Linked DNA regions of Mus musculus. The protein of the gene in region 2 interacts with the protein of the main gene of each other region in a pairwise test. Links are inferred from orthologs where the notes say so. Each region holds a gene or a part of one and is shown on either strand. Other genes may lie near its edges.

Region 1 (3,651 bases), on a different chromosome or scaffold from region 2:
TTCCCCTGGGGCTTCCCTCACCCGGAAGTGCCTCCGTAGCATGCTATTCAGAGCGAAGTCATCCTTCCAGGCATTCTGCGCTTCCTGGATGTGGCTGAGTGTGGGGAGGGCCTTCTTCAGTGTGCTGCGGTCAGCCTCACCATGCTCTAGGCGGAACATGGCATCCGTCTCCAGCTTCTCTTTCTTCTCATGCTCTGCAAGGACCAAATAAGTGTGACTCTGGGGAAGCAGCCAGAGGTCGTGTGGGACGGGCAAGCAGATGGTGCTCACCTGTGGTCAGCACCTGCTCGTTGTCTTCCATGTCCCAACGCTCCTCCTTGCGACTGGCACCACTCACGATGACATAGTCACAGTTGGCAGGGTCTGTTTGCATCTCGATGTAGTTGACACAGAGGTGGCATTTCATCCTGAACCTAGAGAGGAACTGGAGTTAGGATGCTGTGGCTCCATCCTGAGACCCCAGAACCACTGCCCACTTCCTTTGGTGTACTACACACTTCCAGAAGTCACTGAGTATCCCTGCTCACATCTGGGCGAACCCTGAGGAAGACACACAGGCTTGCATACAGATGGAGCAACCAAGAGGCTGAAGGTGGGCCTGGAGGCTCAAAGTATAAAGCCTGCTCAGCATGTTCATGTTGGCTCTCACCTCTAGGGTGACAAAATAGCCCAACAGAACTGGTAGGTGTGCTGGCACCCATTTGTGATCCCAGCACTCCCCAGGCTACACAGTAGGACCCTATCTCCACCTACAGTCCATCACCCAGACACGGAAGCTGGCTCTTTCATTCCTTCGTTTGCTCATTCCTCACCTATCTACCCACCTCCCATCCCCCAGTTCACCCACTCACCTCCCCACCAGTTTATTCATCCACATGTCTATCTACCCATCCATTGCCTGCCCATTGGTCCATCTATGCATCCATCTTCAGATCCATCCACCCACCCATCCTCTCCTTGTTCACTTTCCCACTTATCTAGTCACTCACCTAGGCATCCTCACACCCACCCACCTACCCATCTGTTTACTCCTTCCCACTCCCCTCTACTGGTTCTTCTGTGCCAGGCTGGGTGTCAACAGTTGGGAAAGCTGCTAGTAAGACAATCTGCTCCGGGAGGGGCAGGTGTGCCTGGGGTGAGCATGCCCCAGCAAGAAGAGATACCCCACAAGAGGGGACAGCTTTGCAAAAGGGCAGTGTCGGAGCAGCACAGCGATGGAGCCGTTTAGCTTCTGTGTGGAGGGAGCAGAGATTACAAGGTCTGAAGCAGAGTAAGAGAGCCTAAGCTTTTACTGGGGAAGGTGGGAGCCATGAAAGACTGGAGGAGGTTGACAGGCCAGAACGGATAGTTCTACAGACGACGGCTCTAGAGGAAGGTGCTGCGTTCCCTTTCCCTTCAAGACTCCTCTATAGACTCTTTAGCCCGTGAAGCCACGCCTATCCCTGAAGTGCCACCAGATGCGCCTACCTGTAGATTGGAGTCGTGTAATAGTTGCCAACCTTCTTCTTTTCTGCATTGTAGCGCACACCTGAGAGGGCGGGGAGAGAGAGGCTGGGACCATGACACAGCAGCAGCTTTTCTTTGGGTGGGAGACAGACAAACTGCTGTTTGCTGCCTGGGAGGGCAGGTGCCCTGCAAGGGCCCAGAAGCTCACAGTAGGAAAGAATGAAGTTTGGGAGGCACTGGGGTACCTAGGCTATAGGACAGTGTGGACTGAAACAGAAAGGCCCGGTCCACCCTGCTTCCACTGACTCCCAACTGTGTCCCCTAGGCAAGGTGCCTCATCCCTCTGGACCTCTGTCTCCCATTTCGTCAACAGAGATGAGGGTGAAAATGTCGATGGAGAGATGGGTGTGGGGTATGCCCGTGACCCAGCACTCGGGAGACAGAGGCAAGATGGAGTTTGAGGCTTACCTTGATGACACAGCCAGACCCTGTCTCAAATACATACATACATACTACTCGAGTGAATAAGCTCAGCTTTCATTATTCTTTTCAAAACTATCTGATTTTTCCTGGGAGGTAATATAGTCCTATCTTCTGATTGTGAGTGGCAGGTACTGAGCCTGGGTGCTGCCCATGGCATGGCCCGGCTGCTCCTCTCTGGGGCAGCTGCTTTAGCTTGGGCTAGAGGTGGCCATGAGGTGTCTGGGGGTGGTTCAGCTCCCTGTTTTCAGTCCTGGGAACAGGACCCAGGGTCTTAAACCTGCCCAGGGCCCGATCTCTGCCCCAACAGTGCACACCTTAGGTAGGTCTGGGCTGTGGGCCTCTCACTTTCCTTCCCTTCCCACAGCCACCTTGTCTCCCAGATCTCTGCATCTAGGTTGTCATCTTCATTTCCTGGAGCCTAGCTGACCCTGAGGCAGGTCAAAAACACTACAATCTCTGCCCCATAGCCTAGCCTAGCAACAGCATCTGCCCTTGCTTTTCTGCCCTAGTGATGGATCCAAAGAAAATCCCTGCCCTGCCCTTGCCCAGGATCTGGACCTCAGGGCCTAACCTTCTCATTGCTCTCTGGCTTGGGTACCTGCCACCTTCTGATTTGCCCTTGGGATTGGCAACATCTCCAGTGTCTCATAGTACTTGGCACAGAGGGGGCCGAAGGAGTGGGCAGGGCAGGTGGGGTGGGCGACATCACCCACACTCACCCATGCTCACCCATGGCTGCGCTCACCCATGCTCACCCACACTCACCCATGGCGGCGCTCACCCACGCTCACCCATGCCGATGTGGTTCTTACAGCCGTCACACCAGATGTTGTATGGCATTTCAAATCTAAACAAAGACAAGGACTTTTTATTGTTATTTCCTTTAAAAGTTTTTTCCTACGACTTAGCCACTGTGTGTGTGGTGGTCAGAAGACGACTTTCATGAGTTGGTTCCTTCCTTCTACTACATGGCTGTGGGCACTGCACTCAGGATCTCTGGCTTGGCAACACTTCACCCACTGAGCCATTGCTCCCCCACTCCCTTTTTTCTTAAGATGTATTCTGGCTGTTCATGAACTCTTGGACTTGAGTAGCCCTCCTGTCTCAGGCCACCTAGTCCCGGGTAGGCAGGAGTATACACCTGTACAGGCCCTGGCTGGCCACTCTTTCTTCTGGCTCCTTTCCTTCTCTATCACCCTCTGGCTTGGCCACCCAGAGGAAGAGCCTGGCCCAGCCCTGGAGTCAGGATCTGACCAGACAATGGCAAAGAAGGTTCAATGTGTCACGTTTGGTCCTGGCCTTAAGAGCCCTGGCACTTCTGCTTCTTTTGGAGCCATGGTACTGCTGGTCTGCTGGAAGAGAGACCTGCTGTGGAGCAGTCTATCTGTACAGGCCAAGGCCCCACAGGACTAGTCTTCTGCTTCCTGGTACTCATCAATGAAGGAAGACGGCCTCGTCAGGTCCTTCCAAGCCCAGAAGAGGCACCTAGCCTTGTTATCAGTAAAAACTGTTTATTGTTTTGTTATACAGCAATGGCTGACTGATGCAATGTCTACCAGCTTTATGGAATTATAACGTTCCAGCACTGGGTCAATCAATCAGGGGATATAAGATTGATAGAAACTGGAGATCTTGGGAGAAGGGAGGGGTAGTTTCTTACCGGATAACAAGGATGCCTTGTGAGAGCTTCCGAGCCCGTTCTCGAAGTGGGTGGCTGTTGTG
Region 2 (3,751 bases):
CAAAAAGATGCTTTGAGTTAGCTCTCAGGAGTCACAATAGAGAAAAGGCTGCAGAGACCAGCCAAGCCGGATTCTGGCTATAGCCAAACCCGAGGGTAAAAAGGCTGTATTAGAGTCTCATAGTGAAGAGAGGAAAGTTCCAGAGGTTATGGGAAGGTGAGCTCCGGCTGGAACGTTGAGTCTTGCTATTCTGTCAGCTGCCTGTTTACTGCTCTCTCATTCACTACGGGAGCAGAGGCGAGGACACTCTGCAGAGGCCCTTTCCTGAATGAGACAATAGGGCAAAGCCTGAGGACCGCTTCAATGTTCTGCAAACTTGACCTATGCTTCTTACAAGAGTATTTTCAAAACAGAGCTCTTTTGTGCGATTTCTGAGACTTGACATGTGACCTAGCAAAGGCCTCATGCAATGTGACCAGCCTACAATTCATTCACTTATTCAAAGTGTACTTACTGAGTTTTCTATGTACCAGTCAGCATCCAGAAACTAGGTGTGGGTACTGTGCTAACCAGGACCTAGAGGACCCAACTTTACAGGACTTTCAAACAAAGCACAGCTAAGTTAGAAGATCACTTCTAAGGGTGGCCACAAGCATATGGAGGCCACCTGGAGGAAAGGGCATTCATTGGTCAGTGAGGCTGAGGCTGCACAATAAGTCCCATGCTTAATAAGAGTCATGCACAATCACGGTCAGAAGGAAAAGGCAGGCAACAGACCATAGACAACCTACGGGACAACGTAACAAATTTCTGTCAATAGTTAAGGTAGCTGAGATCCACTAGAGGACTTTAAAAAGGGGAATACGGCGATCTAAGTGACTACACCTGCAGCTGCCTTAAACAACCAGCATGCGTGTATTCTGCAATTCTCTGTGACTAGCCAAAGGCCTCAACTAGTTTCATCTTGTTTCTTTGATAACCTGTCGTAGTCTCTGAGACACAGCTAGTGGAGGACGATGGTTTGAGGCATGGTTAGAGGCAAACCTTGTGTCAGGGCCCAAAGCTCCTAAGTAGCAAACACTATAGGGTGCGGGGGCAATGTAACCGATTTACACGTAGCGACTGCGGTTGACCCGATTACAGCACACTTTCAGAAATGTTCTCTTTCGTCAGTTAACCAGAGGGCTCCGGAGAGGAGTACCGGGCACTCGTGGAACTGCCGCCCACGTCCCTCTTGCTCCCCTCTCCTTTCTCTGGAGTGGAACAGAGAGCAACAGTCACTCTGCGAAAGGCGCCAGGCCAAGCGCAGCCTCAATGCGGCCATTGTCATCAAGCCGCACCTCCCCCGCTCACCGCGCGTCCCCATGGCAACCCCGGGCATCGGCTCCCCCATTTCCCTCCCGCCCCCCGTCCTGCGGACCGGAAGCCGTGCGCGCCGGGGGCTTGTGGGAAGCGGCTGGAAGCGGCGGCGCTGCGTCTGCCCGGGACGACGAGGCTGCGGCGGGTCCCGAGCCAGAGGTCAGCGGCGCGCGGGGGTAGGGCTCGAGGAGGAGGGCGCGGGTAGGGGCCGGGAGGCCGGCGTCGCTCGGCATCCCGGGCGTGCGCACAGAAGGCCGCGGCGGAAGGGCCGCGGCGGCCTGCTGCACTTCGGGGGTCCGCAGAGCCCCCGGCGCCCGCATCCTCGCCGCCCTGCTTTCCCCTCCCCCACGGGCCGGTTTTGTTCTATTTCGAGGCTCTGGCGGCTCGCGTAGGATTCTGGGAGACGCTCAAGCTGAAGTGGGATCCGGCGGTTCTCGCGCACCACCTACTGGGATTTGTAGTCCTGCTGGTCCCGGGCGGAAGTGCCTGTCCAGTGTGGCGGGGCCTCTGCGGCCCTCCTGGTGAATGCTGGGAAGAGGACGGCCGAGTTGCTGGGGCAGGCTGGGCACGGCGCTGTGAGGCGGGAGGTCGCTGAAGACCTGGATCCTGCCGAGTGCCGGATTGCACATTCCACGAGCTTGGTGCAGTACAAAGTAAAAGAAAAAGCAGTTTCTGTTATGTAGAAATACGTGAGCTGTTGATAAGAGTCGGCTCCAGGAATAAGAACAAATAACTTGGATTTTGTTCTCAGGCCATCCCACTCTTATCTATATGACCTGTCAGTTTGATACAGCATTTTCTCATCCTTTGTCTTCACCTTGACCGGTTTCAGTAAGGTTTTGTTAAGTTTCTGGTTTTTTGGTTCTTGGCTCTGATTGATTAAACAGTAGCTGTAGAGTTAAGAGTGTCTATGTGCTGTTATCCGTGGCACGGTTATGATTTTGCAAATACCAAAAGGACCAGAAAGTAGTTCAAATTTCCCCGAAGGAAAAGTTAGGGAAGCTGACTGAGGAAAAAAGACTCCTGTCCACTGAGAACTGTAAGTGCTTTTTCCTAATAGAATTTGCTGCAGCTGATACTTGTTACTGTAAGTTTAAATGTATATATGGTGTGGTGGATGCCTGAGTAACATTTGCATGTTATGTGAAATAGCTTCTTCCGCAGTGTTATGCGATCGGTTACTGAACTGTGTAAAGCAGAGTTTGTGACAGATCTACTAGCCCAGGTTGGGTTTGCCATGTAGACGAGGATAACCTTGCTTCTGCCTCCGTGTTGAGGTTACAGATTTAGGACACATAGCTAGCTACTAGTGAACATTTCTCACATATATTTTAAGTTTAGGGAGTTCCTAAACAAACAACATAGTATTTATGCACAATTCCGAGAGTTAGCTCAGCAGTAGAGGAGGGTGTGTAAGGTCCCTGGATAAGTCTCTAATCCGGGGGGTTCGGGCTGGGGCTGTGGTTGATCTGTTTCCTACTCCAGGTTTGCAAAAAATGAAAAGAAAAGTGGGATGGGCTAGGTGGCTCATCGGGTAGGGGCCTTGCTCCTAAGATCCCAGATTGCACATAGCAGGAGGGAGGAACTAACTCCTGCCTGTTGTCCTCTGACCTCCACGCCTGTGCTGATGCATTCCAGCACAAAATAAATGGGGGAAAAAAAGTTATACATGTCCCACCGCTCTGAATGTTTAGTTTGTTATCTTATGTATATTTGTACCACGTGTTTGCCTGGTGCCTAAGGAGGTTAGAAGAGAGAGGCTTGTGGTGCTGGAAACAAACCAGGGTCCACTGCAAGGGAACACCTTCTTAATTGCTGGACCAGCTTTCCAGTCCCAAGCTTCAGAGCATTTGGAGACCACTGAGATAGATGGCTTCTTACCTGGATTCCTTAGGTTATTAAATTACCTTTGGTTGACCATATGTCACAGATTGGCAATCTTTTTTTTTCCAAGAATGGACAAGATAGTAAATATTACGTTGTTTTAGATCTTAGCTGAAATCATTGAATGCTGTCAACTCTTACCATTATAGCCTGAACCACAATTAAATTTAATGACTTATATACACAAAATTTAAACATATTAATGGGGCTGGAGAGATGGTTTAGTGGTTAAGAGCACTGGCTGTTCTTCCAGAGGTCCTGAGTTCAATTCCCAGCACCCACATGGCAGTTCACAACTGTGTGTAACTCCAGTTCCAAGGGGTCTGACACCTTCACACAGACATACATGCAAGAAAAACCACCAATGCCCATAAATCATTTTAAAAAAACATTTTTACATCTTATTTGTGTGTGTGTGTGTGGGGGGGGTGTACACGTCGTGTCCGGCTTGTGCAGAAGTAAGCTTTCGCTTATGTACTTGTTGGTCATCGGACTCGGGTCAGCAGGCTCGGCAGCAGGCCTTGGCCAACCAAGTGACCCTGCTGATCCTGGACAGATACATCATATT
Region 3 (2,835 bases), on a different chromosome or scaffold from region 2:
AGTCCTAAAATTCCTCCTCCTCTTCCTCCTCCTTTTTTCTTTTTTCTTTTTCTTTTTTGGTGTGTGTATGGGAGGGCAGTTCAAGACAAGGTTTCTTTGAATAACAAGCCCCAGCTGTCCCGGACTGGCTTTGTAGACCAAGGAACTCCTGAGTGCTGGGATTAAAGGTATGTTCTACCATGCCCAGCTTCATTATTCTTTTTTCATCTTAGTCTTCCAACCCACCGCACCTTGTTTTTGTTTTTGTTTTTGTTTTGTTTTATCTCTCTACTCAGCCCCAAATGTCCTGGATCCCAGTATGTAGACCAGGCTGGCCTCTGCCTCTGAGTACTGGGATCAAAGTGTGCACCTACCATACCTGGCTCCTTAGTCCTCTTTCTAAAAAAATAAAATAAAATGAAATAAATAAAGGTTTTGCAAATGTAGCTCATTTGGTAGAGTGCCTGCCTAGCATGCATTAGGCCCTAGGTTCTATCTCCAGCACTGCATAAACCGGTAATCCCAAAACTCAGGAGGCAGAGACTGGAAAATCAGAACTTTCAAGTTATCCTCAGCTACGTAGTGCATTTGAGGCCAACCTGGGCTACATAGACCTACTCTTTCTCACAGGCACCCCAATAAAGGCCAAAAAAAAAAATCTCTCACCCCAAGGAAGAATTTTCAGTTTTGTTAATCAGTCTTGACAGAAGGTAGCTGAAGCTCAGGTAGTCTCCAGACCTCTTGTTGACTTTCCATCACATCCTGTTCATAGTGTAGTGACTAGAAGGATAGACAGCCACTGTGGCTTTCTCCAAAACCTACCCACAAGTTCAGTCCTCTGGCCATCAGTGAGATAGACCACTGAGAAGACAGGGATGGTAGGTTGGACAGATGAAAGCTGACCCAGAACTCACAAATGCCAATACTGGCTTGGTCCTTAGCCTGCTACAGATGGAGATCCAGTAACCTGCCAGCCACGGGGTGGTGGGTAGGGGTATGAGGCTGCCTGGGAGAGGCAGTGACTGCTTGCATCCTTGCAGGAGTGGGGCCTGTTGGACTCATCACAAAAAGAGCTGTGCTGGGGTGTGATGCCGGAGAAGTACGACACAGTGGTGTCCCAGGGTGAGGATCAATGGCCTTCCCTGTCCCATCCTCCACACACCTCCCACGTGTACTAGGCCCTCACTGGGGCTCCCAGTGCAGTGGCCCAGCATCCGGCTGCATCTCTCTTCTACCAAAAGGTTCCCATCCCCATACTTTTGTGTAAGCCCCCATGTGTCCAAGCCCCCAAATGAACGTTCTTTCCACCCTAGCAAGCCTGCCGCTGCTACAGCCAGAGACACATGTTGACTCTGAGCTGAGACCAAAACAGGAGATGCCACACGAAGGACCAGAATCCCTCCGGAGCCATCCCCCAGAAGTGGGAGCCATTGCAGATCCAAGGCTAGTTCAAGCCACTCCAAGTGAAAGGCAGAGCCCTTGCAAGGACCCTTCAGTCTTGTCTCCCACACCACTGCTTGAAGCCCCAGCGAGGCCCACACCTCGGAAGCTGTACGTTTGTGAGCAGTGTGGCCTCAGCTTTGACTGGAAGTCCGTTTTCATCATCCACCTCCGCACACACACGAGAGGGCCAGGCCTGGAGAGACCATCACAGGTGGCCCGGGAGCCGGCCATGAAGCGCTCCCCTGGCCTTCGGGGATACACATGCGTGGAGTGTGGGCGCAGCTTCAGCTGGAAGTCACAGCTGGTCATCCACCGCAAGAGCCATGCAGGCCAGCGGCGCCACTTCTGCCGCGACTGTGGCTGTAGCTTTGACTGGAAGTTTCAGCTGGTCATTCACAGGAAGATCCACCAGCCAGAGGGTCCATGAGTAGCTGGAGAGGCATGTCTCACCTTGGATTCCTCCATCCCCTAATGCACCACTTTAGCATCCTCTCTAGCCAAGAGGAGGTTCTAAGGTACCCCAAATAGGTCAGGGATTGCAAGAAGATTGCCCTGTCCAACACCAGACTATCCAGTGTAAGGAGAAGAGGCTAGTCCCTTCCTTTGGCCCCTGCTTTGTGGAGCCAGGCCTGGGTTCGATGACTAACCTATCCAGCTTGTGCAAAAGGTGGACACTCCCTACTTCAGGATGCTCAGAAATTGCCTCAGGTCCCTCCTTGCAGTGGCTGGGCAAGAAGTCTCTGTGGAAGGTACTGGAAACCACAGTTGCCTTTCTCCCCTGCTGCATGTGACCCTTAGACAAACATGCTAGATTTGTTTGTTTTGTTTTGTTTTTTGAGACAGGGTTTTTTCTGTGTAACCCTGGCTATCCTGGAACTTACTCTGAAGACCAGGCTGGCCTTGAACTCAGAAATTCACCTGCCTCTGCCTCCCAAGTGCTGGAATTAAAGGCATGTGCCACCACTGCCTGGCTAACATGGTAGATTTTTAATGTAAGTTATACGTCTATAACAATTTCTAAGTAAAACTCCTGACTTCTAGCTTCCATTGACCAAAAGAGCAGCCGTGTGTGCTGGCTAGCAGACTACAGGAACCACAGGGCAGCTGAGCCCTAAAAGGCCTAATTAGTTACTTCTCTCCTCCAGCCTACCTAGTTTCCTGACTACACACATTGCTCCCCACCCGCCCTGGCCTTTGAACTCCTGAACTTGAACTTGGATGAACAACTGACTCTCCTTTGGGTGCATGAGAGCACATGAGTGGATTCTGAGAAGTTAGATAACCCATGGGTACCTCAGGCCATGCATGCTTCTGGGTGAAGGCTACACCGCACAATGGCCAGTTAAACTGGAAGACAAAGGGTCATTCCTTGATGCCCAGGGAACTGTGACCCTCTTAACAATCACTCAGAAT

What was found.
Region 1: the proteins of Zfp24 (region 2) and Ccdc130 interact in binary tests that used the Homo sapiens proteins (3 or more experiments, as listed by UniProt). The two-hybrid records come from large-scale screens. The link is inferred for Mus musculus from reciprocal best matches to the Homo sapiens genes ZNF24 and YJU2B.
Region 3: the proteins of Zfp24 (region 2) and Zfp446 interact in binary tests that used the Homo sapiens proteins (3 or more experiments, as listed by UniProt). The link is inferred for Mus musculus from reciprocal best matches to the Homo sapiens genes ZNF24 and ZNF446.

What each region holds. Positions count from the first base shown.
Region 1 is NC_000074.6:84,260,273-84,263,923, forward strand, and holds part of Ccdc130 (coiled-coil domain-containing protein 130), read right to left. Parts: coding exon 3,590-3,651; intron 2,777-3,589; coding exon 2,721-2,776; exon of another isoform or gene 2,699-2,720; coding exon of another isoform or gene 2,695-2,698; intron 1,529-2,694; coding exon 1,468-1,528; intron 414-1,467; coding exon 271-413; intron 195-270; coding exon 22-194; intron 1-21. UniProt on the Homo sapiens protein: May be involved in mRNA splicing.
Region 2 is NC_000084.6:24,018,419-24,022,169, reverse strand, and holds the start of Zfp24 (zinc finger protein 24), read left to right. Parts: upstream 1-1,356; 5' UTR 1,357-1,458; intron 1,459-1,799; exon of another isoform or gene 1,800-2,338; intron 2,339-3,751. UniProt on the Homo sapiens protein: Transcription factor required for myelination of differentiated oligodendrocytes. Required for the conversion of oligodendrocytes from the premyelinating to the myelinating state.
Region 3 is NC_000073.6:12,980,827-12,983,661, forward strand, and holds part of Zfp446 (zinc finger protein 446), read left to right. Parts: intron 1-1,019; coding exon 1,020-1,101; coding exon of another isoform or gene 1,102-1,157; exon of another isoform or gene 1,158-1,292; coding exon 1,293-1,849; 3' UTR 1,850-2,835. UniProt on the Homo sapiens protein: May be involved in transcriptional regulation.